Linked DNA regions of Arabidopsis thaliana. The protein of the gene in region 2 interacts with the protein of the main gene of each other region in a pairwise test. Each region holds a gene or a part of one and is shown on either strand. Other genes may lie near its edges.

Region 1 (7,679 bases), on a different chromosome or scaffold from region 2:
TCTCTTACATTTCTGTGTAATTAGCTCATGTTGCTTATAATTTGTCATCAAGAAACAGTGTTAATCTTTGAGGTTTGGTCACTGTATGCTGAATGTTCTTATGTGGCTCAGCTTTTGATTATCATTTTGCATTTTGTTAATTTGCTGCAGTTGTATACTGGCAAGAGGATCTAGAGACGGAAACTGCTCAATTGGGACCTTAATGGTACTGATAATAGAGCATTAGACATGTAGCTGTTGACAGTGATGGCATCGAGCAGAAGGAACAAGTCAAGTCTGTACTGTGATTTTAGCATCTCTCACATCTATGTTTGTCTAAAATGTGTGTGTGTTTTTAGTCTTCTCTCTGAATAATATTAGATTCTCATTTGTACTCTCTATTTATTTAGGAGAACCCAAATTCAAAACTTTTTTTAGTCTCTTCACCACCATAAAGCCATAATCACTACGTATTGTTCACTTCAAAAATTTAACATGGGGTGCCAATTGTCACATGTAAAACTATATGGTCCTAAAATTAAAAATATCAAGTAATTAAGGATAATAATGAAACATGTGTGTGCACGTGTGATGGAGAGAAACAAACAAATCAGCTTTAGAATTCAGATTCCTTCTTGTCACACAGTTTTCGTTTCTCTTTCTCTTTCTCTCACACTCTCTGCCTATCTCCGCCGCGGAGATCCATCGTGTTTTCTACTTCTGTTGGTATCCATGGATTCTCTCGTTGAATCCGGTTGGAAGGTACTTCGTATTCCTCTATCTCGTCGCGTTCCTTTGTATGCGATTCCTACGTTTTTTTTTTTTGTTTTGTTTTCAGAGATTGAATCGTGTTTTTTGTTTCTCGGTCTCTGGCGACTTGAGTGTACTGCATTTATGATACAAGTGTAGGTACGGGATTAGTATCTGCCGTGTTAGGTTGATTTTGTGTTTGTCGTCTGTGGTCCATCGTATTGTATTGTTGTGGTCCCTTTATGTTGAGATTGAATTGGTTTCGTGTCGATTGCGTTGTGGTTTCAGATCTGGATTTGACTGTTCTAGTTACAGATTATTACTGATTTCGTATGTGATCTCTGTTTGTGCTTGTATTTTTTTTTGGAATTTGAGTGGGATTTATGTATTGTTGTTGGAGCTTGGACTAGCTTAGAGGATCTGTGATTGTGATACGTGTTGATAAGCAATAGGTTTTCCTTGAACGTCTTCTTAACTTGCTTTTCTGCGTGAGTGACTGGATGGATGGTGTCAATGATATACAATTGCCTTCAGTTTTCGTGGAATTGAACAAATTTTATCTCCCTTTGGCAATCATGTTTAGCTCTTTAGTTTGACAGTTCTAGCTGTGACACTGACCCTTCTTTGTGGCGATGATGCAGTACCTTGTTACGCATTTCAGTGACTTTCAACTGGCGTGTATTGGGAGTTTTATACTTCATGAAAGCGTGTTTTTCTTGTCTGGACTCCCTTACATTTTCCTAGAAAGGACTGGTTTTCTGAGCAACTACAAAATTCAGGTTTGTCTTTTCTTCTCATGATTCAGTGGTCTTCTAACTAATAGCTTTGTGTGTCTGTTCAAATATAAACTGAATGGAAAGATATCACCAAGTTGTCAGTGTTCTCATTTCCCCAATGGTAATGTCAAAGTGATAACTGGTTTAGCTTGTCTTCTAGATTTATCAAGTACTCTTGTTTGGTCTTTTGCAGACCAAAAGTAATACTCCTGAAGCCCAGGGAAAATGCATTGCTCGACTATTACTTTACCATTGCTGCGTAAACTTGCCCCTCATGATGGCGTCGTATCCTGTATTCAGATTCATGGGCATGGAAAGCAGTTTTCCTCTGCCGTCCTGGTATTATCAGGTTCTTTAGTGCTGAAAGCTTTTTTTGCCTTTGGGTTCTGATGTTAAACTCTTCCAATGGGCAATATATATAAAATGTCAGTGTTGAGCTGCATGAGAAGAACCTGCATTATGTTTGATCTGGTTTATGAAACTATATCTGGTGACGCTCTTGCAGGAAAGTGGTGTCTGCCCAGATCTTATTCTACTTCATCATTGAGGATTTTGTATTCTATTGGGGTCACAGGATCTTGCATACTAAATGGCTCTACAAGAACGTGCACAGTGTGCATCATGAGTAAGCTATCAGTACTCACCATCTTTTTTGTGCTTGACAATGTTAGTTCACTCATGGTCCTCAATAAACAATCTTATGGTATTACTTATATACAGGTACGCGACACCGTTTGGTTTGACATCAGAATATGCTCATCCCGCTGAAATTCTGTTCCTTGGTTTTGCTACCATTGTTGGTCCGGCTCTCACCGGGCCTCACCTGATCACCCTTTGGTTATGGATGATGCTCAGAGTTATTGAGACAGTTGAGGCACATTGTGGTTATCATTTCCCATGGAGCCCCTCGAATTTTCTTCCTCTATACGGCGGGTAAGATAAGACTTCTAACCTGTGATTGCCTTGAAAGAGCAACACCTTAAACCTAACAGATCTTTAATATTAATGTGGGAATCATTTGCTTACAGTGCTGACTTCCATGACTACCATCATCGATTACTCTACACAAAGTCTGGCAACTACTCATCAACGTTTGTTTACATGGACTGGTAAATTATTGAACTCTGTTTCTTACTTTAACAGAAGTCATAACTATAATAAACATGTAAATATGTTTATCTATGTTACTTCAGGATCTTTGGCACCGATAAAGGTTACAGAAAACTTAAGGCCCTAAAAGAAACCTGACAACAAACAAACGTGAAATTCGATTCCCGAGAGAGGTCTTGTTCTCAAAAAACCTTCTTTCTTTTGTTTTGTCTCTACCATTTCCTCAACTTTAGTCATAAGAACATCATTATTTGCTACAATTTGGGTTGTACAATCAAAGCTGCTAGTCTGAAGTCGATTCGATGTTGAAATTTATACGTGACCTCGTTTCTATTGGACTTGTTGTTACTACTGCTTACTGTTTTTCTTATTCTTTAGATACTGCTAATACTCATAATTGCATTTAGAACCTATGATCTACTCTCATGTCTTTGCCTAGCGGCAGAGACTAAGTACCTCTTAAAGTATCTTAATGCCTAAAAGTAAAAGGTATAGTATAGTCTGACAATCTTTTTTAAAGCAAAATGCTTTTACATGTCGACCTTCTTAATTTGATTTGATTTAAGATTATAAGCATACACGAAACAGGATTAGGGTTGACAAGAATAATTCTTATCATTTCTATTAATTAACCCTTTTTCGGGGTTTCCATAAAATCGGGTTAATTTTGTATACAACCAACGTATTCCAAGAATAACCAAAAAGCAAAACTGATATAGAAAGTTAAAGCAAAATTGTCTTCCTCTTCGACTAGTGTCCACTTACGTGTCCTTATCTTCTGAGATCAATCACAACGACACTGACGTTGTCACTACTGTTCCTTGCCAACGCCAGCTTTGTTAGCAATACTGACGCTTCCGTACAAGCCTTGTCCGAAATCGCCGGATCCTCATTATCTTGTCTTCTCCCACCACCACGGAGACACATACGCGCTACAGAGCAGGCGGTCTCGTTTGACACAACATCCCATAAACCATCACTAGCTAGTATGAGGCAGTCATCGTCTCTCCTGTCCGTTATGGTTACCTCCGGCTCGCAACTCACGTAAGGTTTCAAATAGTTGTCTCCTATTGCTCGTGACATTGCTAAGACTCCGAGAACTCTTGGACAGTCCCAATATATGACTCGTCCACCAGCTCCTTCGATTCGATCCAATTCGTCTGGCCGATCAGGCTGTGTTTCATTACAAAGAACACAATCTCCAAGTTAATCCACAAATCCAATCATTGCTTAAATGAAACTGAACATGTTTTGAACGGAACTGACCTTGTGATCGGTTGATAAAGGGACTGGTTTCCCATTGCGGCAGAGAACTGCTCTGGAATCGCCACAATTGGCGACAACGATCTTATCTGGCGTAATGACTGAGACAACAGCGGTTGATCCGACGGAATCACAAGCCGGTGTTTGTAGATCACACTTGCAATTTGCAGTCACGACGGAATCACCCCACGATACAACTTCCTTATCCATGCGTGTGAAGCTACGCTCCATCGTCGTTTTCCATTCTTCTTCATCTTCCATATCTGAACTTAGTTCTTCTTGCACCAGCTTGTGAAGCCTCTCTCTACACCTTGCTGCAACCTAAGGAAAAAAAAAAGATTTCGTATCAGCTAAAACTGAAAACATAGAATTTCGGAAAACGTAAGAATGCATGGTAACGGAGTCGTACGTGGGAACAACCATGGCCGTCATACACACCAAAGTAGTGTTGAGGAAATTCCGAATTCTTCGGAGAAGAAAATGAAGGATGAATTGCCACCGCATCTTCCATCTCTCTTCTTCTACCGCACACCGAAGAAACACCGTATCTTGGACTGGATACGTCGACATTTTGGTCAGAGAAATCCTCCCGAGAGCTTCGAGGAATTGAAGAGTATCTCGTAGCTAAAGCCTCCTGTTTACTACGCTTACAATTCTTCTCCCAATCTTCATGCATCACCGTTTGGAATCTCGGCCTCCGCCGTGAATGTGCCGGCGTTGATTCATAAACCGACGACGGACATGCGTCGGTCACTACTTCGTAACATATCTCGGCCATATCCGGGGAAAAAAACCTTAAACTTTGATGTCTTCAAATGGATTTTGCTCTGTATTTCTGATCAAGAAGAACAAAACTCTTTCTTAGATGTTTCAAGAAATGTTTTCTTTTTTGATGAACTCTTTCAAGAACTGGTGATTCCTGTTTTGGTTGCTTCACTGGTTAATAAAAATGCTCGAAAACCATTCAATTTGAGAAATAATGTCATTACACGTTACTTGCATTCTCTATTTTATACACAAAACCTGCCTCTTCAGAAACAATTTTAAATTCTTTCTATAAAAAAAGTAATCCACGTAAGGCGTCAGTATCGAGTGCGAGATTCGTGGTCCAATCAAATTGAGACGGCACGGATGACGGATCATAGGAAGTTTCCTTTCGCGCCACGATGCTTTTCCCCGCAAGGTAGGTTTTGTTTTCTGTATTTAAATAACTAGAGGAATTTCATTACGTTAGTTTTCACATTTGATTACATGAATAACCTAAGTTTAGGTATAAATCAGTGTTTACTTTCAAAACCTAACAAGTTTAGTGCTAATAATTTATGTTTGTCCCTAGACAGTAAACACGTTAACAAAGAAAACCTTAATAAACTTATATCTGAATTTTTATTATTATTGTCTTGAGAGTCCAGAGAATCATCGGAAATATAATATGTATGACTTATATGACAGTAATCAGCTATGTTGTGATGGCAGTCTGAACAATTATTAAACAAATTTATCATCGACAAAGCAATTTGAATTCTCATCGTCCAAATATCCAAGAAATGCGATAAAGTTTTATATACCCAAGAAGATTAAATAACAAGTTACATATATAGTTTGTTTTTGAATTTAGAAAATTTAAGGAATATTTTGTTTACATGTCTATTATTATGAGTCCTTGAATATGATATATGAGTATGTTTCCAACGACATGTCTTTTAGTTTAGTTGATATATAGAAGAAACTTGTTTTGTGCTATGCGTGAGAATAATAATAATAATAAATTTATATCAAATATATATATATATATATATATAATTATGAAGATAATTCTTTCTTTGTTTTGTGTTATGCGTGAGAATAATAATAATAAATTTATATAAATTAAAAAAAATTATGAACATAATCTTTACTCCTTTAGCAAAAGTAATCTTTTTAGGCTTTTAGCCATAACCCCCTAAAGATAGGGATACTAGAGTTGAAAATCGTACGGTCATCATTACATGACTATATAATCATATATCATAAGTAGAATATATACAATAATTATTTTATATATCAAAAGTCACAATACGATTGGAAACGAACAAACATCAAATGTGAACACAAGTAACTTCTTATCCGATAAGATAAAAGATTGAGTTCTTCGTCCAAACATTAGAAGGCATGAACGGAGTGAGCTCCCTCAACATAAGTTACATATAAAACTTGTATGAATTAATATGCAGTGAAACCACTAATTAATCACATAAATTTAAGCATGAATATATGCATATATACGTGTTTAAGGCAAAGAGAAGCCGTTAATAGTGAAACCTCCATCAACGCAAATGGTTTGACCTGTTATATAAGAAGCTGCGGGAAGACATAGAAATGCAACAAGCGATGATACTTCATTTGCCTCTCCAACACGTCTCAATGGTGTCACACTCTCCACCTTTTCTTTTACATCTTTATCACCGAGGAACTGAAACATTTTCACATAAACTTCGTAAGAAATAGTTAAACCATTTTTTCATACTATAAATGAAATGTATTTTCTTATTCATTGTCTTACATCTTTAGTTGACGGAGTTGTAATGAACCATGGACAAACAGAATTAGCCCTTATATTATCACTCGCCCACTCGCATGCTAAATTTCTCGCCAGCTGATTCATGGCTCCTAGAATGCGTATACATTTATTTAAGTCGCGATAGAAGCAAAGAATCATAAATTGTTCGAGTATGCGTATAATTATACCTTTGGTTGCTCCATAGATTGATGTATTACCCAAATTTACAACTCCAGCCACGGAAGACATGAGCACAATGTTCCCTGAACCAGAGGCTTTCAATAAAGGATGCGCGAGTTGCGAGAAATGGAAAGTTGACTCCAGATTTGTAGCTATTATAAATGAGAACTCTTCTGCTGTACACTCAGTCGTCGGCTTTAGTACACCTATTCCCACATTGGGTACCTATACAAACGAAGCAAACAAAATTCAACATGATTTTGGTCATTGTCGATCCAAGCTCATAGACGAGGAGGAGGAGAAGCTTATATATATACACACACACACTTACGAGGATGCTGAGTTTTCCTTGGAAGAGAGAGGAAACAGTTTCCATGAGTTTCTCTCGCTGGTCACGAGAAGAAACATCGCAAACAGAAGTGGTGACTTGTAACCCTTTTGCTTGCCATTCACGTAAGCTTTCTTGAAGCTGAGTTTCGTCTCTGGCACATGTGTGAACTCTTGCTCCCAACATGGCTAGTTCCTCCACCACAGCTTTTCTATTTATACATCAATATGAATTTATACATATCATTAAGCCTTTGATCTTTTCAGGGGTTGATTTGATTAAACATAGAAATACTATCAAAAGATCCACATAAGTCTATGATTGAGCCGTATTAACAAATAAAACGAAAGTCTATACATGATTGAAATCAGAGCTCAGTTTCGGTACTGAAATTATAGGGAAGTAAGTAATTAAGGTAGAAAAATTGGGACTGACCCGAGGCCTTTAGATCCACCGGTAACAAGAGCAGTCATGCCTTCAAGACTCCATTTAGGTTTGTCTCTCAAGCTTTCCCCTCTCTTTGCCATTTTTGGTTATCAGCCACAGAGCAGATATCTATTCATGGAGATTCTTATTTGTAACTCGGTATAGGAAAAATTATAGACCGTTTATACATATTATAATATCACACGTAACCATGCAAGTGTGTTGTAAATGGGGACAAAATATCGGATTCGACATCATTATTGGATGGTTGGTTGTACCAGTCCAGTCGGTTGAGTATTTAAAACTTCATAATTTTATTAGAACTAAA
Region 2 (7,825 bases):
TAACTTGAGCTGATGAGTTGGAAAGAAATGGAGGAGGAAGAAGCCACCAAAACCTGTTGAGAATCGTATTAGTCTCATCAAATTTTAAGGGAATATAAATCTCCCAGATCTCTCCACATGAAGAGAAATGTTCTGCCAACGCCGTGTAGAGATCATCAAGCGGAAGACCAGTGTCATATCCCGTAACCTTAATCCTCCCAACGTCACTGCAATAATAATAATACTATCAACGTGACATCTGAAAACATGCATCACCTTACACATACCAAATTCTCAATTTACCTCAGTTTTGGAATGTTATTCCGTTTCGCTCCCTAAAAAGTACAGGAGATCAAATCAGAAACACTTGCACTGCTAACTAACTTGCAAGTACTTTTCTTACAAACTTGTGAAGAAACCATCAATTGAGAAACAAAGATAAGAAACCAGAGTGAATCAGAAAAGCCATAAGAGTAGAGTACCATGGTGGATGAGAACATGGCTAAAATTTGTTCGACAAGAGCGAGACTCGATAACCCTTTTAACAGATTTAATTTAGGTCTGAAGAGGGCATTTATAGTTGTTTTTTTCTTTTTATTTTGGGCCTTGAATTAGTTAGCCCCATATGGTTCCTATTAAGTATCTTAGAGCATCTCCAACGGGAGAAAAATGGAGCTCTCATGACAGTCTCTCTAAATTATTGTGGAAAAAAATAAATCATAAAGGTTTAATACTGAGAGAATCGTTTCTCTTAAGAGAGATTTTGGAGCTGAAGAGAGACGCATACGTGTCGTTGTTTTTCAGTATTTCTTTTTTTTTTCCGTTTTTTTTCTCTACTATCATCTTTTCACTGGGACTTTGAGGATCATTGGACTTACCTGAAACGAGCTGGCCGACGTTGATTTCGGTAGGCTTATCGGCTCTGAGATTCATGGATTCCATACTTTGCAAGGTTTGTTCTTCTAATCTTATCGTTCGTCTTGATTCATAGAACTGTTTTTGTTTGTTCTTAAATTCGATTGTCTCTCGGTTTTCATTGTCCTATTGTTTTTCTTTTATTTTGTCTGTCTGGGTTTTGGACTTTTACTCTCGATTGCTCTTTGATTCTCGTAGCTATTGAACTAGAATTTGCAAAAGGTTGTGGAATTTGAGGTTCTAATTGTGATTTTAATGTGGTGATTTGGAAAAGAATTTAGGGACATTTTAGGTTGATTAAGGGATCTTGGCTTTGATTTGAGATACCCATCTAACGTGAAGAAGCTAGTGAAGTATATTTCAACCCCACCTGTGGTAAAGTCTAATCTTTGTGTTTCGATAGTTTCCTTTACGGTGTTTTGTATCTGACTAATATCACTTTTGATGGCTAATAGAGAGAGCTTCAGGGGATAATCCATTTGGGTGGGTATTTTTCTGGCTGTACCACTTGCAGTTTCTCAAAAGTGAGTGAAGGAACTCATTTTGGTTGATTATACTCTGAGTGAAGGAACTCATTTTCGTTGGTTCTGCTCTTCTAAGTGAAGAGGGCTTACAAGCTTGGAAAGGTGATGGCCATGTGTTTAGATTGTTGGTGCATCTATGTACTTTCCATAGATCTTCCTTTGCAATCATTTAGTGGTGAACCTGATATGTTGTTATTTCCTGCAGCAAGTTTCCAACAGAGTAATATCATGTCTGACCGGAACCATACAACGGAACATTCCACATATCGTTTTACATTTCTATTGACCTTGACCTTTATGTTTTAATTTGTCAAGAAGTCTACTGCATTTCTATTCTCTCCTATCTCATTCCTCTTTATTTACTTGCTTTCACATGGTAAGGAATTGTGAATATATGGTCTCAGCCTCTCATGTTAGACATTTCTTCTATGATTCTCATTTTTTCTATTGTGAATAATTTTTTTTCCAGACAACTCTTTTAAAAGAGACTTACCATTGGACTATGAAAAATCTTTCAAAAAAATCAGAAGCTCTCATCTTACAAATTCAAAAGATTTATACTTAAAAAATGGTGAGATCCCATTAGGAGGCTCTCACCATTGGAGATGGTCTTATGAGTTCCGTGAAGCTCTCTCGTTATTCTTACAGGGCATGATTTCGTATAATATTTTTAAAAAAACAAACGATTGGGCCTTGAATTTTTAATTAGAAAGTTAAACAAAATCTAAAAACCCACATGTGGTCTCTTGTTTTTTTTGGTGTGATGGTCGAATATTTCTAAAAACCCACAAGATTTATTAACTAGTCTTACAAATTACGATTACATTTTTTTTTTACGTTTTATCTCATTGACAGGGTATAATTTATACCGTATAAATATTATTTTCTTGTAGATCAGTCTTTTCAAAAAATGTAGTGGGATTACTGAATGCATTCCTCTATAATTAATTACGACAATTATCATAGTTGGTTTAGAAAAAAATAGTAAAATTGCACGTTTGCATGCCTATACAATTCGAGTGTACATGAAACTTGATGTAGAGTACCATACCCATGTCGCAAAATATTATTATTTATTGAAAAAATTACAAAGTCGCGATGCAACAACCTTTGTACTATATGATGAGAATATAATATAAAAATGGGCAACAAGAACAAAAGAAAATAGAGAAAAAAAGGAAAGGATAATCTTCCACCTAAACAAGTCCAAAGAAGATTGCAAGTTGCAACATCCACTTGCTTCGTCCGGCGTAAGCTCTTTGATAAGGTCTCTCACCGTCCTCCGACTTTCTCTCTCCATACATACACCACATTTACATACGCCATTTACACATATATGACAAACCCATCAACATCTGTGCATGCACGTGTGCTCATGCATGTATGTAGTTTTTACTTCGCCATGATGACCATGTCTATCTTAAAATTTACCACAATCAATCAATCATGCGCGTTACAGTCGTGTGATATTCAAAAATTGTACATGTTATTTCTCATAACTATCACTTTAGTAGATTAAGATCAGAATGTGCATATAATAAGTAAATTTTAACAATAACAGCAACATATTTTACTATAACTAATGATTTATTTAAAAAAAAAAGATAAAACTAATTCTGAAATTTCAGTTTTTTCTATGAACAATTTATTAACAGTATTCATATGTAGATAAACCTTGTAGATTCTATAATATAAAATTTATCAAGATGGAAATGAGGGATCTATAGAATACAATTAATTTTGGTGATATATATTCAAGATAATGAAGGAGGCGTCTGAGGAAAGAAATCATGGGGGCATAAGATGGTACAATGTATCATACATGGTCACACACATCTATATGATACAAATGCGTCTATATACACAACTGTTTCTATATACATACAAACACAAAGCCTTCACATCCCCAGCTATCTCTATCCATCTATCTTCAAATATATATTTTTAAAAACACACAATGTTCATATCTTATTGTTATTGTTATAAAATAAAAGATGATCATACTTTTTAAATTTCTCAAACAAAACCAACTTGACAACCGACAGCGAACAAGATCAAAAAGCTAGCTCTCTTCTTTTCTCATCAAACTTATTTCTCTCTCGATCGCAATATATACGATTCCATAAATTCTCCCAAAAACAAATTAAGAGATAGAGGAGAGATCATGAGGTCACCGGTGCAACTCCAACACGGCTCAGACGCCACTAACGGTTTCCACACGCTGCAGCCTCACGATCAGACCGATGGTCCGATCAAGAGAGTGTGTCTCACGCGCGGTATGCATGTCCCTGAACACGTTGCGATGCACCACACACACGACGTTGGTCCGGACCAGTGTTGCTCCTCGGTGGTGCAGATGATCCACGCGCCGCCTGAGTCCGTGTGGGCTCTTGTGCGGCGTTTCGATAATCCGAAGGTTTACAAGAACTTCATCAGACAGTGCCGTATCGTCCAAGGCGATGGACTACACGTCGGCGATCTCCGGGAGGTCATGGTGGTCTCTGGACTCCCGGCGGTCTCGAGCACCGAGAGGCTCGAGATCTTGGACGAGGAGCGTCACGTGATAAGCTTTAGTGTCGTTGGTGGGGACCACAGGCTCAAGAACTACCGATCGGTGACGACACTACACGCGTCGGACGACGAAGGTACCGTGGTGGTGGAGTCTTACATCGTTGATGTGCCGCCGGGAAACACGGAGGAGGAAACTCTAAGCTTCGTTGATACTATCGTCCGGTGCAACCTTCAGTCTCTGGCTCGAAGTACCAACCGGCAATAATCTCATCTTTCTTATATAAATTGCAATTATGTATCTAATTTTTTTTGTTGTTCTATTTCTTTTAGATGTTCGATCTTCTTTACAAGGAAGAAAATTTCGAGTACCTTTTCTTTCTTTTTAAATAGATATATCGGCTTAGAAAGAATTGTAATTTAATGGGGATTTCTTTGGGAGATTTATGTTGGAAATTTCGAAGTACTGTTGGGGGATTCACAAAACTTTGGATTTGGAGGGTGTTAGTACTGGTACATAAAACATTTTAAGGTGAATCTGTTAAATGAATTAATCCATTTGTTGTTTTGTACATGGTATCATTCTTTGTGACATTGTTTAATTTCTTGTACTCTTTTAAATGTTACTCTTAACCGTTTTTTTCTTTTGTGGTTTGTAAATGAATATTTGATGCATCGGTATTGTTAATGATAGACTTATTAATTTATTTCTTCATAGTATGTAACATTACTATAAGTTTGTTTTTTGTTGGTTGATCCTTGTGTCCAAATGTTCTAAATAGAAAATATAATACAAAGCCGATATTCTGATCTAAGAATCAATTAGAATGAAGCCAATAACTGTTCCACTGTCTATAATATTACCAGAGAGATAAAAGTTCAGAAATAAAAAAACTCCAATTCGTTTAACTTTAAGATTTATCGTCATCATGGATCATATTAAGGGAACATCAAATTACCTTTAAGTATTGAGTATATATATTCGAATTATCTGTCTATTACACATAATATTCTCGGGACGTAACAATTTATTAGAAGGTACTATATGTAGATGGAACTGCGTGTTAACTAAGAGGGAAATTATAAACCAGGTTATGGAATTTAAACCTGATTAGCATGTGCATTTACATAAAACATATATATTAGACCTAAAGCAAAAGTAGACGTGCTTAAACTATTACCAACTAGTCTTTCATTGGCTACTAGTCTGGTCAAGTGGAGATTATCATTTTTTATTCCCGTTTGTTTTGTTAATAAATTATAACCAACCAACCTAGTGGGTTATATTTAATTCAAATATAAGTTTTTGGTCTACTGTTTTTTTTTTTTTTTTTTTTGTTCTGGTGGGTTTATTATAATTCGTTCGATTCAAAATTTGTATTTAAGAAAGTCTAAAAGGACATGCAATTAAAATTTAGCTGGAAACGCGTTGCAACTTGCTAGTTTTTTCTGCCCCTAGTGGGATATGATACAACGAACCCTTATGCCGGTCTTAAAGAGTTAATATTTCTTTTTATCCAATTTCCTTTTAATAATAATACAAACAAGGACAATAACAAATTATCAAAATCTTGTCAAAAGAGTATTATATATCATCAAGCACACTACTATATTATTGATTAAATGTTGATTAGTGTTATTAAAATTATCTTACTATATAATATTGGATGTAAAGAAAAACAAATGTATAACCAATATCAAAACTCAAAAGATAACAATTTTTATTTTTTTTTGGTACGAATCAAAAGATAAGTATTAAATATCATAGTATTTATTGCTACAAAATTCTTTATATTTATAATCTATTGTATCACTTTATTTTGTGTTTGGTAAAACATCCTCTTTTTCTTTCTTTTCGAACAAATAAATTGAGATAAACATATTTGTACTATTCTATCACTATCATCGTGTCACCACCATATTCAAATCCATATATACACAAATGATTAAAATTTTAAAAGTAATTTTTGTTTATAATACACAAAAATGAAGATACGTAAACTATCGTACCACATCTTACAAAATTATTCGTGACATTTTATCCTTTGTTGTCCCAAATTAGTGCTGAGATACTTCAAATGTCTGATTAAGAACGGTAATAATATTTATAAGTGGCGAGGCCCAAGAATTAGCTCAAAACAAATGGGCCGAAATTATACATTTCTTTCATATTAGTAAAGCTTTTCTGGGAGAAATCCGGGCATCAATTGGTTACCGGTTCAGTATTTAAGCCTGGGTTGTGAATTCCAACATAATACCGAACCGAATTGATCAAAACGCTGCGTTTTGTTTTCAGTCATTGCAAGGTTACTGCAAGGTTAAAGCGGGAAGTGAGCAACGAGAGGCAGCGGCGGCCGTCATGGATTCATCGGCGAACATAAACAAAGCTCTAACGGAGACGCGTTTCTCCGACCTCGAACCTCCACTCTCCGGAGATATCATTGAGGCTCTTAATCAGTCTGATTTCGAGTTCTGCACTCCGGTTCAAGCCGCGACGATCCCTTTACTCTGTAGTTACAAGGATGTTGCCGTCGACGCTGCCACTGGTTCTGGAAAAACCCTAGCTTTCGTCGTTCCCCTCGTAGAAATCCTCCGTCGATCCACCTCATTCCCTCCGAAGCCTCACCAGGTAAGATAATTGCCAACTAATCTGGAAATTAGGATTTTTGTTTCGATTGTGAGCTTATCTTTGAAATTAAATTACAGGTCATGGGGGTGATTATATCGCCAACGAGAGAGCTATCAACGCAGATATATAATGTCGCACAACCATTTGTTTCGACTTTGGCAAATGTGAACTCTGTGTTGCTTGTTGGAGGCCGAGAGGTGAAAGCTGACATGAAGATTATTGAAGAAGAAGGATGCAATGTCTTGATTGGTACACCTGGAAGACTTTCTGATATTATGGAACGAATGGAGATTCTGGATTTTCGAAATCTTGAGGTACTTTTCTTCAATCAAGGATTTGTTTTAAGATAGATGTTGTTGAATCTATAGCTTGGTGTGGTTATGTTGTCTAAACAACTTAAAAGTTTAGTTTTTTTACTTAAACTGAATCGTTTTGCGTATGTAGATTCTTATTCTAGATGAGGCAGATAGGCTTTTGGAGATGGGGTTCCAAAGGCAGGTGAATTACATTATCTCACGCTTGCCAAAGCAGAGGAGGACTGGCCTCTTTTCAGCTACACAAACAGAGGGCGTTGAAGAGCTCGCCAAGGCTGGGCTTAGGAACCCTGTGAGAGTTGAAGTTCGAGCTAAGTCGAAGTCGGAATCATCCCAGCAATTGACAAACTCGAAAACCCCTTCTGGTCTTCATCTTGAGGTAGCATAAGTTCAATATATAATTATGTAATAATATGTTTCAGAGTAGTTAGTTTTCCTGTTGTATCCTTCGTTATCATTTAGCATTACTGTGACCTGATTTACGAAGGATTTCCTTCTAATTTGTAAGTATCCAGTAGTTATACGATTCTCTTCGTAGCTCTATTGTATTCCCTTCTCTTGGTAGCAAGTTTGTTGTATTGAAAATACCTATTGATCATATGTGTTGCATATGTATATACTTCTTTTTAGTAGAAACCGATGTTCTATCTTTACATGTCCTACCGATGCGTTTCTTAGCGGTTTATTTCTCCTTGTCTCTACAGTATATGGAATGCGAAGCAGATAAAAAATCATCACAACTAGTTGATCTCCTCATCAAGAACAGTGATAAAAAGCTTATAGTGTAAGTTTAAATATTCCACACAGACTTATATAAAATGAAGCATCCTTATAAATAGTCTAAGTAACGCTGCAGATTCTTCATGACCTGTGCTTCTGTTGACTACTGGGGACTCGTACTTTCAAAAATTCCTGCCCTGAAGTCCATATCTTTAATTCCTATCCATGGGGATATG
Region 3 (9,327 bases), on a different chromosome or scaffold from region 2:
TATTTTACAGCTTTAGGCAAAATTATATAAACGAGATTTTAATTCAGGCAAAGAGCAAGCTTCTAGAACTGAGCTAGACATAGTCAAACCAAAACCTTTCAGAAGTAAAAACAACCATAGATCAAGAATTAGCGTCTCCATACAGGAAACAAAAAGGGGTAAAGCAAGCAAACGCAACAACAACATTAACGAAACAAACAAGCAAGGTTTTCAGTTTTCAAATAAACAGTTGAGCAAAGAGACCGAGATATCTCTTAGAAACATAAAATGGTATAGAGATATATTTGAATTTACCATTTGAATAGCAAGAGGGGAAAGACCCCAGATGAGGAGATTAGAGCAGAATCAATCAACTTGTGGAGAGACTTGAGAGTGATAAAGTCAATGACTTTTCACCGGAAATCTCAGGAAAGGAAAGCCCTTTTTTCTTCTCCGGTGAGAATTTGGTAATCTCTCTCTCTTATCGCGGTGGAGAGTTTCAAAAAAAAAGGCGTTTCGTTGGAGCTCCGCTTGGAGAAGCCATTTGGGGGGTTTTATTTTGTCTCTTGTCTGATACAGATTACTAGTGGGTCCCAGTGCTAGCTTCAAAATGGACGGCATCGGTGAATTGTTCCACTTGATCAACCTCTTCTCAGCCGTTTAACTTCTTGATTTAGGAATTTTTCATAACATTAAGAAACTTTGGATTTTGTCTTTGTAAATGCATGAACAATCAACAAAAGTAAAAAGTTCGTAGCAAAAAAAAAGAAGAAAGAAATGTTTGTTATTAGGGCATCACCATTGTTTATTTTTGTTAATTAAGAATTTCAGATTTTGTGATAAACAAATGTTATAGTACATGTGGAAAAAATGTTATGGCCCCTGGTTTTAAAATGTAGGAAAATAAGGTAAATACGAAAAAAAAGGAAAAACGTAGGCGGCAGGATTCGAACCTGCGCGGGCAAAGCCCACATGATTTCTAGTCATGCCCGATAACCACTCCGGCACGCCTACTTTTGACAACGTCACCACTTTTTTACTATATAATTTAATCCATGAGTAAAATCATTACAAGCCCAAATGATCGCTGCGACAGCGAGTGTGTGACGTTAAACCCTAAATCTGGTGTCTTTGTGCAATCGCAAGATTCATTCACTCTCTGCGACACTAAAGATCGAAACTTTTGAATTGCAGAAATGGCGACAGCTTTAGCTTCCAAGCTCTCCAAAGGTACATTTTCATCTCTTAATATTATTATATTCGATAAAGTTTGGTTCTTTAAAAATTAGATTTTTTGCAACATTGATTTAGTATAAGTTTCGAAATGAGCTTTGAGTTTTTGGGTTTGTGATATGTCATGGACTTTGCTTTGGTTCATGAAATGCAGACTCAAGATTAAAACTTTTTTGTTCTTGTTGTGAATGTCACTAATTGTTGGTGATGTCGTTATATGATTCATCGACAATATGAGTAGGACGTTCATTGCTTGGAGGTCTTTGCAATGCTTTCTCTGGTTTGATGAATTCCTCCTCCAATGGAATGATGAATGGAAGCATCCTCTCTCAGGTCAAGCCTCTTTTCGCAAATATACGTCCTTGATGAAACTTTCTTCATATGCATTCGTGGGGTATAACCTGTGAATTGTGTGTCCTGATGATTTCCAATTCACAGCAACAACATAGGACATTCATTCAAATGGGGACGATTCTCAAATGCGTGGATAACTCGTGTGCTAAAGAGGTGATGTGCATTCAATCCCTGAGAGGTAAGAAAGGAGCAAGACTTGGCGATATCATTGTTGGTTCAGTGAAAGAAGCTAACCCAATTGTTCAAAAAAAAGTAAAGAAAGACGCTATCCCAAAAGGTAAAGTGAAGAAAGGGATGGTCGTGTACGGTGTGGTTGTGCGTGCTGCGATGCCTAAAGGACGTGCTGATGGAAGCCAAGTCAAGTTTGATGACAATGCCATTGTAGTTGTTGGCATTAAGGAAAAGAAAGGGCAGAATAATTCACATGGTTCCAAGAGGAAAATGGAGTACAACCAACCGACTGGTACCCGAGTGTTTGGTCCTGTCCCGCACGAGATGCGCCTCAGGAAACAGCTCAAGATCCTTTCTTTGGCTCAGCACATTGTTTGAGACAATACACCACACTAAAACATCAGTTATGATCTCCTTTATGTGACTCTCTTTGATCCATTCATCACTTGGGTTTCTGTTGATTCTTCAACTATCCAACTCATTATTTTTGTTAATTCTAATGAATTATGAAACCTTAACGTACCAATTATGATCTCTTATTTAGGTTTCTTTTAATTGTTAAACTCTACTCTCTTAGTAAAAAAAGCAGGGGAAATAGCTTTAAACAACCATCCTTCTCCAAACCCTTCACTTAGTTTTCATGTTTGATACAGCATCCCTCATTAAACACTTTGGAATCAATATTACCTGTTGTATAACAATAACAATAGAAAAGACAATAATAACTCTTTCACAACAAGTATTTATATATAATAGATTACAGAAAAGTATTAAGGTGAATGTGACATAAATTTCAGTTACAATTCCTTAAGCCACATCTCCAATATTACAACAACATATCCACCTACAAGACTCCAAAGTAAAAACATTTCTTCTCTATTCTTCTTATACATAACAAACATACACATTCAAGTCCATGAGAAAAAGGAATGGACTTCAGCTATGCATCAAGGTCTTAATTCTTCTTCCCCCCAACATTTCACTTCTTATTTTTATGTAAACTTGTGGAAATTTTTTCAATAAATAAGAAATAATAAAATTATAATAGTGTAAGAGCTCGAGCATACACTGTTTCAAGATCTGGTCTTGAACTTTCTTTGAGCTTTCAAGTCGATCACTATGATTGAGATATTGTCTTTGCTTCCCATTTGAATAGCGAGTTTGGAGAGATATTCAGCCGCAGCTTGACACGCTTGGTCTTCTCCTACACCTCTCTCAGCTAAAGGCAATGCTCCATTCTTCTTGTGCCAAGCCAAGATCCGCCTCCTCGCAAAATCGCAAGCTTCTTGGTTACTCATTACGTCCCAAAGTCCATCACTGGCCAATATTAGACACTCGTCTTCTCTAGCTCGTGGCATAAACGTCACTTCGGGATCTGGTATTACAAATGGCTCCAGATATTGATCACCTGAAAACGATGCAGATTGAAACCCACTTTCAGGAGATCTCATGATTTTGCAGAGACTGTAACAGGTAGTAATGATCCTCATCTCTAAATAAGGTTACTGAATGTTTAATTTATCGATAATTTTGACCTATAAAACTCTCTTCATATTTCTGTCACTAGGCAAGATGGAAGACATAAGTGCAAGTTTGACCTACCGATGGACCTGGACATGGCAAGAACGCCAGAAACACGAGCGCCTTGCCATTGTATAACTTTTCCTCCAGCTTTCTCTATTCGTGCATACTCATCCTCTCTATCTGGCTGCAGAGAAAGGGTAAGAAATTTCATGAATTAGAAATAAGAAACTTTCTCAGATTGTGTTAAATTATTTTAGAGGGAAAGAGAAGATTTTTTACTTTGTGATCAACTGATAAAGGCATGGAGTCTTTGCCTCGGAGTAAAACTGCTCTTGAGTCACCACAGTTTGAGACTATTATATGCGATGAACAAACCAAAGCAACCACAGCAGTCGATCCAACGGTTTCAGGGGAAACAGCTTCAAGAACCATCCTATCAGAAGAACCAACAACAGGTCTGTTGATTTTCCCTTTAACCTCATCATCGACTTTTAGGTAACAATCTACAAAGACTTTCTCCCACTGGACCTGCCTACCCTCGCCAGTGTTCCTCCTACACAATTCCTCTTTAATCCGTTCGATTTCTTCAGCCAAAGCAGAGTGGATTCTATCATGGCAATAGTCAGCAACCTGCAAGAATCCGATTTCCACCAAAGCCGTCATATATTACATAACAACCTGCAAAGAATCCCGTTTCCAGCAAACCCTTTATCATATATACATACAACCTACGTCAACAAAACATAAACTCATGTATCTTCCGGGTTCATAGTTGAATTAACTTTCTACTGCTAAAATCAGTATAAGGATTTACGAACTACAGCATACCTGAGCGCCTCCGTGGCCATCATATACACCAAAGAAGTGACTAGTGAGATATGGGAGACTTGGACTCATCCCTTCATGATCCCCCATAAGCATTTTGATGGGTATTTTGAGAAAATGAGGTAAAGCTCTAACAGCATCCTCCATTTCAGATCTTCCACCGCAAATTGAAATCGTGCCCCAAAGAGGTATACACTCTAGTTCATAAACACTCCTGCTTCCTCTTGCTACATTAGGATTTTCTTCAGGTAACCTAATGACTACCTCAGAAGTTGCCACCTCCATATTCACATCGTGATTCAGACTCGCAATAAGGACTTCTGCAGTGGGAACCTGTTCTATGGTTGTCTCGTTTAGGATAATGGCCGTAGCAAGAACTCGCCCGTTATCAGTTTCAACTGTATCTGGCAAACTTATCTCAGACCTAGCGTCCACAACTATTAAACCTTCGCTAATAATAGTCGCATCAGATACTAATGGCTCATCTTCTTCTGATTCCTGGACAGTTACACTAAAATCAGAAGACAAACTTCTCACTTCAGATAAAGTCTTCTCTTCTGAAACACTTCCCATAATACAATCCACCACTCCATTACTATATCTTTGTCTTTTCTGATTACACAACATGTCAGCTGCATCAGTAACATTCTCCAGCTCGGAGATATCGAAAGTAGATGAGATTCCAGAGTCACACATCGTATTAGCTAAACCCAAAGTAAGTGCAACTGCAGGTGAAATCTCTTCCATGAGCTGGTATGCAGCTTCCAAACCTCAACTGGAGCAAAACGATTCAAAAAACTTCATTTTCTTCTCTAAGCTATAGTCTGATGAACTCTACATCCAATTCAGCTTCCCACCGAGACCCACCAGCCGTTTATTCTCACCAACTAATCCAGAAAGCAGTGAATGACGAAGAAGTATGTACCTCCGCTGAACAGATCTGACGGATCTATGAAGACGGATCCTTTGTGAATTCGTGGGATTTTGATCACTCTAACGATCCTCTATAACTCTTGATCTTCATCGAATCAGAAAGACAATAAACTCACACAAACCCTAATTTAGAAACCCACAAAAAAAAAATCAGCCTTTTTCAGATAGATCACACAAGAGAGCAGAGAGAAGACACAAAGGTGAAAACTTTATCCAAAACAAAAACAAAAGTCAGGTGAAATTGAAGAGAAGGGACAACAAACAGAGAGAATTGATATCAATCAGCGAAATGAATCACAAAACACACAGAAAAACCTAAAAAAGTCGAAACCTTTATCTCTCTTATCTTTCCAAAACGAAACGAAACATGGGTTCTCCTGGATCTAATGAGGTTTTTACCCAAAAAATAAAATTAGAAAAATTATAAGCACTCCACGGAATCCCAAGTTTCTTTATGTGACAACGACCTTCATTATTAACACGTTGCTCCAATCAATTATAAAACTAATTTATTAATCTATTCAATAATGGCAACATAGATGACGCGTGTCCTTCCCTCTTAAAGGTCAAGTCTTCTGTTTATTCTTCTAATTTAGTTTTTTGATCCAAGATTGAAAGTATGTTCATGACATATGTTCATGCATCTCATGACACATGTAGTGTTATCATAACGTGGTTAAAAAATAGACAACGAAAGACTTTTCTCGGAGACCAAAGTTTGAAATGGGCCTACATTAAGGCCCAGTCAGCGTCACTTATATGGGCTCTAGCGTCCACTTGTTTACATTAAGGTAAGAAACTTCATTAGCTCTGTCTCAGCTTTTATACTTTCTGATCAACTGATAAAGGCATGGATTCTTTGCCGCGGAGTAAAACCACTCTTGAACCACCACAGTTGGAAACTATGATATGTGATGAGCAAACCAAAGCAACAACAGCAGTTGATCCGACGGTCTCAGGGGAAACAGCCTGAAGAACCATCCTATCATCAGAAGAAACAGAACCAGAAACAGGTCTGCTTCTTCTGTGGCCATCATAAATTCCGAAGAAGTGACTAGTGAGACATGTGAGCGTTGGACTTATTATCCCTTCATGATCACACATAAGCATTCTGATAGGTAGTTTGAAAAATGAGATAAAGCTCTAACAGCATCCTCCATTTCACCGCAGATTGACACAGTGCCCCAAAGAGGTATACACTCTAGCTCATAGACACTCCACCTCCTTCCTCTTTGCTACATTATCATGATGACTTGTAGTAATAAGGACTTGTGTTGTGGGAACCGCATCATCATTCAGGATAATGGACGTAGCAAGAACTCGCCCATGATCCTCTATTCCACTTCCATTGTAGCGTCCACAACTATTATTAAATTCCACACTCGCTTGTACACGGCTGTTTGTTATACGAAAATCATTATTAGCTATATATTATATACTCCATATGGTTTCTTTGAAATATCAAAGGTCCTCCTCATCAGCGACATGAATCACACACAAAAGACAAAGTCCTTCAAACTCAAACCCTTTTGCCCTTTCAAAACCAAACAGGTTACCCCAAGATATTTAACACGTTCGTCGAAACAATTATAAAACTAATTTCAACCTTTGGATTTCCTCATGGTCTTCTTCTTTCTTCTAAAAGATCAAGACTGCCTATAATTCCAAATTTATCTAGTTTACATATATATCAATATAAGATGCCATTACACAAATCTAAAAATAAAAAATCCTCTTTTTGTCTACAAGATATGATATGGAATATCCTTTAAAGATAAGTCGTCAACTAAAATTAAAAAAATCCTCTTTTTGTCTGCCTCTCTGTTCGTTATGACTGTTTAGATTGTTGGAGAAAAGAAAAACCTTCTAATTTTAGCAAAGTGCCAAAACCATTATAAGTTTAAATTTTCTCAACAAACAAAACAGCTCTCCTCTCCTCTTCTCTTCTTAATTCCTTGTTATCATTTTCATTATCATTCGGTCTCCTTATTTCCTCCTTCTGAGGGTAATTGAAAGACCGTACCACAATGTCTTTCTAGTTTCTCCAGAAGCAAAAGTTTCCAGCAATCATCTCGAGGGCTGAGAAACAATGGCTGCAAGAAGACTCAAAGGAAAAGACAGCAAAGCAGTTACCGCCATAGCCATTGATAAAGATAAGAACAGCCAACACGCTTTGAAATGGGCTGTTGAGAATATCATCATCGATTCTCCAAACTGTATCCTTCTCCATGTTCAAACCAAACTGAGTACGTAATGGCATCATCATCATCATCATCATTGTTATCAATCCATCAATCTAATGAAAACTCTTGAAACAGGATTTGGGGCAGGAGAAAACACAGAAGCACCACATGACAACCAAGAAGAGGCGCATCAGTTCTTCCTTCCCTTTAGAGGATTCTGTGCTCGGAAAGGGGTCAGATATCAACCTCTCTTTCTCCTTACAACAATCACATATATATATATATATACACATAGCTCTCACCGACCTCATTAATTATATATTTTCTCTCAGATTATAGCAACGGAGGTTCTTCTTCACGATATTGACATCTCGAGTGCAATTGTTGACTACATCACCAACAATTCCATTTCAAATATAGTCATTGGAGCCTCTGCTCGAAATTCTTTCCTCAAGTCTCTTTCTTTCTCTCATATAACCTAAACTGTAATCTTAATCTGAATGCTAAATCCTATAACTCTCTGTGATTTATGGTCTTAATCAGGAAGTTTAAGAGCGTAGATGTGCCAACGACTCTGCTTAAAACAACACCAGATACATGTGCTGTCTTCATTGTGTCTAAAGGGAAGCTCTTAACAAGCAGATCAGCGAGTCGGCCTCAGACACCTCAAGGTCCTCACACGCCTCAAGGTCCTCAGACACCTCAAGCTCCTCAACACCCTCCTCATCCTTCAAAACATCCCTCAATGATGTCTGATCCTGGCCCAACAAGTTCCACTTCCAGTGAATCCGGAAGGTAATTAATGAACTCAAATTTTATCCGGTTGTCTTGTGAATGAATGCCTTTTTTGCTTCATAGTAGTCATTGGGTTTGCCAATCTTGCAGGTCATCTCCTGCATTGAACGGAGAATTATCTCCACCTACACCTCATTACAAGCCATCTTTGTATAGGAGTTCTATGTCAGAGCTTAGTAATGAATTTCCCAGCGATCACAGTGCTGAATCAAATGCTAGCTTCTACAGCATCCTAGGACGATCCACATATGGAGGAAGCTCACACTCTTCCATGGTTAGTATTCCCATCACGTTTCAAATCGATATTCTTACCACCTATTTGCCTGGCGTTGACATTTTTTTTTCGAATCTGTAGTCTGAGATAACTGATGGAGAGGAAAGCTTATCTGGGGGCAATATCACTGAACACCAGGTAAAATTAATGTTTCAGAAAAGTAGATATAGTGTTTCGGTTATGCTGAGTGTCAGATGCATGATTCTGAGATGTTTGTGTTCTTTGTGCATGACTATGATCAGAATCAAAATCTTGAAGCAGAAGTGAGAAGATTGAGATTCGAATTGCAGCAGTTTAATGCTTCCATGTCCAGAGAAAGTGTAAGATACTTACTTCCATGAGCACAACCGAGAATGTTTCCTTGAACAGGTCCCAAAGATGAGTGACTAATATCAGACATTGAATGAATGCTTGTAGGCCCCTCATCTTCTAGGACCTAGAGCTACCGCCGAAACTGAAAGGCTGGAGGAAGCAAAGGCAGCAAGAGAGATGCTTAGGGCATTGTCTGAGATGGACAAGCAAAAAACACAGACTGCGATCCAAGCAACTGAAGTGGCACAACGTCTAGCGGAAATAGAGACCCAGAAGAGACGACTTGTGGAGATGCAAGCCAGGTTCAAGGAACAGAATATGGCCGATAGTATTTCCTACAGACGATATAGCATCAGAGATGTTGAAGGTGCTACCGACGGTTTTTCAGATGCTCTAAAGATTGGGGAAGGAGGGTATGGACCTGTGTATAAAGCCGTTCTTGAAAACACTTCTGTTGCCATCAAACTCTTGAAGTCAGATGTCTCACAAGGCCTGAAGCAGTTTAACCAAGAGGTAATAATATAATCCGACATTATCCTAATGTATTGCATGTCCTCTCCATACTAATTAACATATGTGTCTCCTCACTAGATCGAGGTTCTAAGTTGCATGAGGCACCCTAACATGGTGATCCTCCTCGGTGCTTGTCCCGAATATGGCTGCCTGGTGTATGAGTACATGGAAAATGGAACATTAGAAGATCGTCTCTTTTGCAAAGATAATACTCCACCACTATCTTGGAGA
Region 4 (7,460 bases), about 19 Mb from region 2:
AAAAAATAAAAAAATTTAGTTATTGTATCATAAATAACACTATACACTTTTCTATGCATATTATAATTTATACACTACAATATCTTTCACTAAAAATGTATTCCAATACATTTATTAAAATATGAAACTTCGCACGTATGTGCGGATCAGAATCTAGTTTAGTTTTAATTGAAATCTTTTAGTTGGTCCAAACCTGGACACAACCTCACACCATATACCTATTGTATAACAAACAGGCATATGAAAATTGAAATGCGTGAGGTAATATGCATAATATAATTGCGGACAATGCTTTTGACCCCCAACATAAGAATTGGTTGTAGCACCCTATTCTCTCGAATGTGTATTTTAATTACAATCCTATAATTAGCTTGGCTTTGATTCAAACAAATATAGGTTAAGTAGAGTCCCCAAAAAAAAAACTATTATTCTTTTTTGGTGTGTGTAATAGGATTATCCAATTCTTTTATTTCTCCCATTATTCGATATTTCTATGCGTTTGATTCCCTAGTTTAGTCGCGATCTATATTTCTTAATGACTAATTTTGAGAAATCAAACTAAATTCTTCAAAGAGCAAGATTTCTAAATTGTAAAAGTAACTCCCGCTCATCATTATAGTCCTCGAACGGTTCGCGTGCTCCTTTAACCACCACCACGATCGACCAGAGAACTTTGTCCTTTTTACGATAGTAATAACATAACATGAGAAAATAAACAAATAACGCAGTGTGATGTTTACACTTTCTGATAACGTTGTAAATTAAATAATAGAAGCTTGAGGAGCGAGGCCGATATACCAACAGACAGATCAGTGTTCTTTTGATAGCTATTTGATACAAAAAATAGAGTTTATTGTACTAACTAAAAGAATTGGTATATTTTTAATCTTTTATATTCCGCCTTTTTTTCATTAACAAGATATATAACATAAAAAAAATAGATATGTATATAACATAACTATTGGCTGTTTTTGTTTACTCAATTGGGCATAGTGGTATATCTTAGCATGTAAGCATTGTAAATAGCTAAGGAAACAAAAGTGAAAAAGAAAACACTTTCTTGACCACTAAACTCTACGCGTTCTAAAAAAAAACACTTGCGGAAACAAGACAAAGTGAACACTTTTCAGTATTTTCTTGATAATCATCATTATTCCCGCCTAATTTGCTTCTGCTTTTCTTTTTAGTGTAAAAGAAAAGAGAAACAAGCTTTTGTCTTAGGTGCACTACTTTTATAAACTTTAGACTTTAGCGTATTTATTTAACACAAGATAGGCTAATGACTTGACAATTACAAGAGTCATAAATCTTTTGCACCCAAAAAAAGAAGAAAAATGCACCAACCCTTTCCCGGAGATTCTTCACCACCAAACTGCCTTCACGGCTGCTTCTCATCGTCACCATTTCACGGTACCACCAGCTCCGAACACCCACCACATTCAACCCCCACCGTCACTTCCGCTACTCTCCGCCGTAATTTCGCCCAAACCACCGTCTCCACCATCTTCCCGGACACCGAATTCACCGACCCAAATTCTCTTCCTTCTCATCAAGAATCTTTCTCCGATTTCATCCAAGCTTACCCCAACTACTCCGACACTTACAAGATCGACCGTCTTAGATCCGACCACTACTTTCACTTGGGTTTATCACATTACACATGTCTTGATTACATAGGAATTGGTTTGTACTCTTACTCTCAGTTGCTCAACTACGACCCTTCCACTTACCAGATCTCTTCTTCCTTGTCTGAAAGTCCCTTCTTCAGTGTTTCTCCCAAGATTGGTAACCTTAAGGAAAAGCTTCTCAACGATGGAGGTCAAGAAACAGAGTTTGAGTACTCAATGAAAAGAAGAATAATGGGGTTTCTCAAAATCTCCGAGGAAGACTACTCAATGGTCTTCACCGCTAATAGAACTTCTGCTTTCAGGCTCGTCGCCGAGTCTTACCCGTTTAACTCAAAACGGAAGCTCTTGACGGTTTACGACTACGAGAGTGAGGCGGTGAGTGAAATAAACAGAGTCTCTGAGAAACGTGGAGCCAAAGTAGCTGCAGCTGAATTCTCATGGCCAAGACTCAAACTCTGTTCGTCCAAGCTGAGAAAACTGGTTACTGCTGGGAAAAACGGAAGCAAGACGAAGAAGAAAGGTATTTACGTCTTTCCGCTTCATTCTAGGGTTACAGGATCTAGGTATCCGTATCTATGGATGAGTGTGGCACAAGAAAATGGGTGGCATGTAATGATCGATGCATGCGGTTTGGGACCTAAGGATATGGATAGTTTCGGGCTTTCTATATATAACCCCGATTTCATGGTGTGTTCGTTCTACAAGGTGTTTGGAGAAAACCCTTCCGGATTTGGTTGCTTGTTTGTCAAGAAATCCACCATATCGATTCTTGAATCTTCCACTGGTCCAGGTATGATTAACCTCGTACCTACCGACAATCCGATTTCATTACACGCGTTGGAAATCAACCGAACACAAACAGATTCGGAAGAAACATATAGCTTTAGCTCTAGTGTCGAATACAAAGGCCTAGATCATGTAGATTCACTAGGGTTGGTAGCAACAGGGAACAGATCAAGATGCTTGATAAATTGGTTGGTAAGTGCTCTCTACAAACTCAAACATTCAACAACTAGTCGTCTAGTTAAAATCTACGGTCCGAAAGTTAATTTCAATCGAGGACCAGCGGTTGCGTTCAATCTATTCAACCATAAAGGCGAAAAAATCGAACCTTTTATCGTGCAGAAGTTAGCCGAATGCAGCAACATCTCACTCGGTAAAAGTTTCTTGAAGAACATCTTGTTCCAAGAAGACTACGAAGGCGTGAAAGATAGAGTTTTTGAGAAGAAAAGAAACAGAGACGTCGACGAACCAAGGATCTCTGTTCTCACTGCTGCGTTAGGGTTTCTTGCTAATTTCGAAGATGTTTATAAACTTTGGATATTCGTTGCTCGGTTTTTGGATTCAGAGTTTGTTGATAAAGAGAGTGTGAGATGTGGAGTTCATGTTTTTGAACATAAGAACCGTGAAGTAGTCTAGTTAACATATAGCCTAGTTTTGGCTCGGTTTGCTTTGGTTCACTTCTTACATCAGAACCGGTTCAAGTATCAATGAAAATTTTGATTTTTGTTCAGTACAAAGTCAGCGTCAACATTAGCGTCCAAGTAGCACCTCTATCTCCCACTAATTTTGATTTTGCTACTGATTCAAAAAAAAATAATTAACTTTCGAAAAAAGGTAGCTCATATATATTTATTTACAATTCGCTCATTCCTAGATGTCAAGTAGATATGAACGGGGCAAATGAATGCCCAATAACTAAAATAAACCCATATCAGCTATATATTTCTTCGGTTGTTAAAAATTTTGATTTTATAAAATTTATTGCACAAATGATTTTCTAGATGTTATTTTTATTTTTATTTTTAGTATGATAAATACTAAATTTCAAAATGCAATGATTGAAAATAATTAAACTTTTAATTTTATTAGCTCATAATTAAACTTAAAAATATTTAATATAAAAAATGTTAATGATTAGATAATGTTTTTTTTTTAATATGTGAAAAAATCCCAAACATCAATCTATTATAAAAATATGGAATAATACTTTTATTTAATCTATTTTTTTAGTAGTCAACATCAAAAGATTATTACAAATGACCAATGTTGATAATTTTAACTTATAAATATAGTATTAAATAATGAATAGTGAATTGTTTTCTTTTTGGCGGGTGAAACCTTATTTCCAAGCTTCATACTCTAGTCTTCGAGAGTCATGCTTAGTAATTGACATTTTTTGTTGCCATCATTTCTTATAAAGCTTACCCTAAGCTTGCAAGAATATTTACCGAGTAGTTTGGAATCTTGGTGTTGTAAATCATGCACTATTTGTTTTACTACGCAGTTCCAATCTTCTCGTGGGGACCAAAGTTTTTCAACCTTGTATACAACAAAATCAACAAGGGATTAGGTACACCAAATTGGTTTTTACGAAAACAGTAACATGCTATCAAAATAGAGACTAGTCGTTTTGGTGATAGAATTCAGACCAAGACAATAATGGTTTTACTTGTCAATAATACTCAGAAATGAACATAAGCTGCACTTGTCAATAGTACTCAGTTTTGAGATAGCTAAGTTTTGTATTGCCCTAGTTATGGCTCGGTTTTGTCCAATTCGGTTGGTTTGGTTCACTTCTTAAATGGAAACCGGTTCAACTGTACAACTATCAATAAAAAAAAAAAAATTAGCTCCACAACATGACTCTTGTGATGTGGTCGAGGCCAAGGCCCATTAGTTAGCTAAAACAGGCCCATATGAAGTATGTGATCTAGACCGTTGATTTGTAATGGGACTATATAAAAATAAAAACGATGATCTTGAGGGCCCCTTCTTCCATCTTTGTAGGGTTCTTCGTGCAGAGGATAAGGTTAGCTGTGGTTTTTTAATTTTATTTTTCTACCTTTGTAGGGTTTCCTCACTTTTTTTTATCCACTGTTCTTTAGTTTTCAATCTGTCAAATTCAAACAGATAACATTTTTCGTCAAAAGAATCAGTAAAAACTAAACATTTTGACTATATCCTACTTGAATCAATTCTTCGGCTGATTTTGAAGTTTTGTGACATTCAGATATTCTAGGGTTTTGTGGTAAATGGAATCGAATCACGAAGGCAACGCGATACAAGTGATTGACCAAGTAACAACCATGACCCATCTGTCTGACCCGAATCCGAAAACCAAACCGGGTATGATGCTCATGAAACAAGAAGACGGGTATTTGCAGCCGGTGAAGACTAAACCGGCTCCGAAGAGACCGACTTCTAAAGACCGTCACACGAAAGTAGAAGGACGAGGTCGGAGGATCCGAATGCCGGCGGGTTGCGCTGCTCGGGTCTTTCAATTGACCCGTGAACTTGGTCACAAATCCGACGGAGAAACGATACGGTGGTTATTGGAACGAGCTGAACCGGCGATAATTGAAGCAACCGGAACCGGAACTGTACCGGCTATTGCTGTATCGGTTAACGGAACTTTAAAAATCCCGACGAGCTCTCCAGTGTTGAATGACGGCGGCCGTGACGGTGACGGTGACCTAATAAAGAAACGGAGGAAGAGAAACTGTACGAGCGATTTCGTAGACGTTAATGACAGCTGTCATAGCTCCGTTACTTCTGGGTTAGCTCCGATAACGGCGTCAAACTACGGCGTTAATATCCTGAACGTTAATACACAGGGGTTTGTGCCGTTTTGGCCTATGGGTATGGGTACTGCGTTTGTTACTGGTGGGCCGGATCAAATGGGCCAAATGTGGGCTATTCCTACCGTTGCTACAGCTCCGTTTCTGAATGTTGGTGCTAGACCGGTGTCTAGTTATGTCTCAAACGCTTCAGACGCTGAGGCGGAGATGGAAACGAGCGGTGGCGGAACGACGCAACCGCTGAGGGATTTTTCGTTGGAGATTTATGATAAGAGAGAGCTTCAGTTTTTGGGTGGCTCAGGGAACTCATCTCCGTCTTCATGTCATGAGACTTAAGGAATTTTAACTCTTAGTTCTAGTTTCTTTTTAGTTTTTAGTAAGTTTGATTCCTGATTTAGGTTAAGTAAGATTTGTAAAAGAATTGGGAGCACAATTTCAATTTTATGTTTCTGTCAAACATTTTGGTAATTAATGGAACTATCCTATCATTTTTAAAAAATAAATCAAAATGAGATTAAAAATGAGTCTGCTAAAACGCCAGAGGTTGAGTCTGCTAAAGCTCTCGACACAATAGTAGAAGGAATAATGTATAGGCACGTTAAACCTAGATTCTCGTGGAAGCTACAAAGCTGGATCGGAGTTGGGATGGAGAAGAAGATGATAGAAGCTGGTGCCATTTTTGATCGAGTGTGTGGGAAATACATATCAGCCAGGAGAGAAGAGGTAAAAAGATCACAAGTGAATAATAATGATCATTTCATTAGAGATAGTCATGCAAATCTTTTGACATCTCACATAAAGCTTGATACAACCCAGTACCAGCTCTTGGATCCTATCAATGATAAATTCTTAAGAGACAATGTCTTTGCTTTACTTCTAGCTGGGAGAGATACCACTGCCTCTGCTCTCACTTGGTTCTTTTGGTTTTTGTCCGAAAACCCTCTAGTGGTGACCAAGATTCGCCAAGAGATTGACATGAATCTACCAAGAAGTTGTAGTGGCCAAGAGAGACCATCTTGTGATCCAATGGAGTACTTAAACAAAGATGTACTTAAACAAGATTTTGGTCTTTATTTATGGGGTGGTGGGTAGGATGAGAGCTGTATGGGGAGAAGATGCATTAGAATTCAAGCCAGAGAGATGGATTTCCGAGACCGGAGAGTTAGCATTCAATGCCGGTCGAGAATATGCCATGGTAAACAAAGAGCTATGGTTCAAATGAAGATTGTGGCGGTGGAGATATTACAAAACTATGACATCAAGGTTGCCAACGGGCAGAAGTTTGAGCCAGATACTAGTTTAATTCTTAAAATGAAGCATGGCTTTAAGGTTAAGATTAACAAGAGATGTTCATCTTGATATTAGTGAAATAATCAAGTTCTTTTTTAAGTTCTATTTCGAAACCATAGCCTAATTAAGAGTATTAATAAGGAGACAAGTTTAAGTGTGATCTACCTTGAGGTTTAGTTTTTATTGTAGACAAATTATAGTAATGGTTTTTTAATGATTTCAATGACAGTTTAGAAGAATGTAACTCTCGATCCAAGAATGATAATTCATGAGTTAGTAAACTGATGAAATCAAAAAAGAAATGTTGTTTCAATTATTATACTGTACCATTTTTATTTCTACGAATTACGAAACCATTTCTTCTCTACCGAAACTAAAGTAAACTAAACCGTAACAAAAAATTTTGTTTCTTTGTTTTCAACCGTATCCAAATTATGTATCCAGTTTTTTTTGTTTTTTTTTTTTTTTTTTTTCTCATTGTTGACAAAATAAGTAATTTTCTAATTTAAAATTTTCTTCAAAAAAATTTATTATAATATCCGTAACTACAATGCAAATAGTGCCGTACACGTGAGAAGCAAAACAAAAAAGATGCAGAAAAAAAAATAGTACCACAAAATCCTTCACCAACCGTACTGCGAAGCCAAGGCAATTGAAACCAAACACTGATAGGCATAACTCAACAGTAGTTACCCTTTTTTGACCATCTTCTCGTTTAATTCTCTTCTTTATTCATTTTCAATCTTACTCTATCCACACACACACGAACACATCAAAATGCCACCATTTTACATCTGATTTTTAGTCTTCATTACTCATATTTAAGCTTAAGTTAATAACCACAACAACCACCTTTTCATGTGGTTTATTTGGCACCATCCGTATTCTAAACCGTTCGTGTTCTTTCCTTATTTGGCACCATCAAGATTCTATTTACAATATTTTTTTTCAAGTGGCAAAA

The links.
Region 1: the proteins of PYL5 (region 2) and HAI3 interact in binary tests that used the Arabidopsis thaliana proteins (3 or more experiments, as listed by UniProt).
Region 3: the proteins of PYL5 (region 2) and HAB2 interact in binary tests that used the Arabidopsis thaliana proteins (3 or more experiments, as listed by UniProt).
Region 4: the proteins of PYL5 (region 2) and AT5G51910 interact in binary tests that used the Arabidopsis thaliana proteins (3 or more experiments, as listed by UniProt).

Annotation. Positions count from the first base shown.
Region 1 is NC_003071.7:12,605,832-12,613,510, reverse strand, and holds HAI3 (highly ABA-induced PP2C protein 3), read right to left. Parts: upstream 4,837-7,679; 5' UTR 4,657-4,836; coding exon 4,288-4,656; intron 4,200-4,287; coding exon 3,882-4,199; intron 3,789-3,881; coding exon 3,387-3,788; 3' UTR 3,161-3,386; downstream 1-3,160. Other genes in the region: SMO2-2 (sterol 4-alpha-methyl-oxidase 2-2), read left to right, coding at 712-741, 1,371-1,508, 1,699-1,844, 2,011-2,130, 2,226-2,438, 2,498-2,614, 2,699-2,753; AT2G29370 (NAD(P)-binding Rossmann-fold superfamily protein), read right to left, coding at 6,148-6,330, 6,421-6,527, 6,606-6,822, 6,929-7,136, 7,361-7,452.
Region 2 is NC_003076.8:1,605,792-1,613,616, forward strand, and holds PYL5 (Polyketide cyclase/dehydrase and lipid transport superfamily protein), read left to right. Parts: upstream 1-3,196; 5' UTR 3,197-3,582; coding exon 3,583-4,194; 3' UTR 4,195-4,736; downstream 4,737-7,825. Other genes in the region: AT5G05430 (RNA-binding protein), read right to left, coding at 1-206, 283-314, 462-479; AT5G05450 (P-loop containing nucleoside triphosphate hydrolases superfamily protein), read left to right, coding at 6,286-6,555, 6,633-6,869, 7,000-7,248, 7,574-7,653, 7,726-7,825. UniProt on the Arabidopsis thaliana protein: Receptor for abscisic acid (ABA) required for ABA-mediated responses such as stomatal closure and germination inhibition.
Region 3 is NC_003070.9:6,030,423-6,039,749, reverse strand, and holds HAB2 (homology to ABI2), read right to left. Parts: upstream 5,481-9,327; 5' UTR 4,834-5,480; coding exon 4,090-4,833; intron 3,892-4,089; coding exon 3,541-3,891; intron 3,446-3,540; coding exon 3,340-3,445; intron 3,146-3,339; coding exon 2,811-3,145; 3' UTR 2,352-2,810; downstream 1-2,351. Other genes in the region: MYA1 (myosin 1), read right to left, coding at 295-297; HLL (Ribosomal protein L14p/L23e family protein), read left to right, coding at 1,176-1,209, 1,454-1,545, 1,651-2,115; AT1G17545 (Protein phosphatase 2C family protein), read right to left, coding at 5,842-6,162, 6,241-6,443, 6,626-6,641; AT1G17540 (kinase with adenine nucleotide alpha hydrolases-like domain-containing protein), read left to right, coding at 7,109-7,265, 7,338-7,435, 7,535-7,656, 7,746-7,997, 8,088-8,271, 8,353-8,409, 8,514-8,591, 8,689-9,096 and 1 more. UniProt on the Arabidopsis thaliana protein: Key component and repressor of the abscisic acid (ABA) signaling pathway that regulates numerous ABA responses, such as stomatal closure, seed germination and inhibition of vegetative growth.
Region 4 is NC_003076.8:21,092,789-21,100,248, reverse strand, and holds AT5G51910 (TCP family transcription factor), read left to right. Parts: upstream 1-4,357; 5' UTR 4,358-4,440; intron 4,441-4,546; exon of another isoform or gene 4,547-4,641; 5' UTR 4,642-4,663; coding exon 4,664-5,545; 3' UTR 5,546-5,683; downstream 5,684-7,460. Other genes in the region: AT5G51920 (Pyridoxal phosphate (PLP)-dependent transferases superfamily protein), read left to right, coding at 1,335-3,047; AT5G51900 (Cytochrome P450 family protein), read left to right, coding at 5,795-6,256, 6,302-6,568.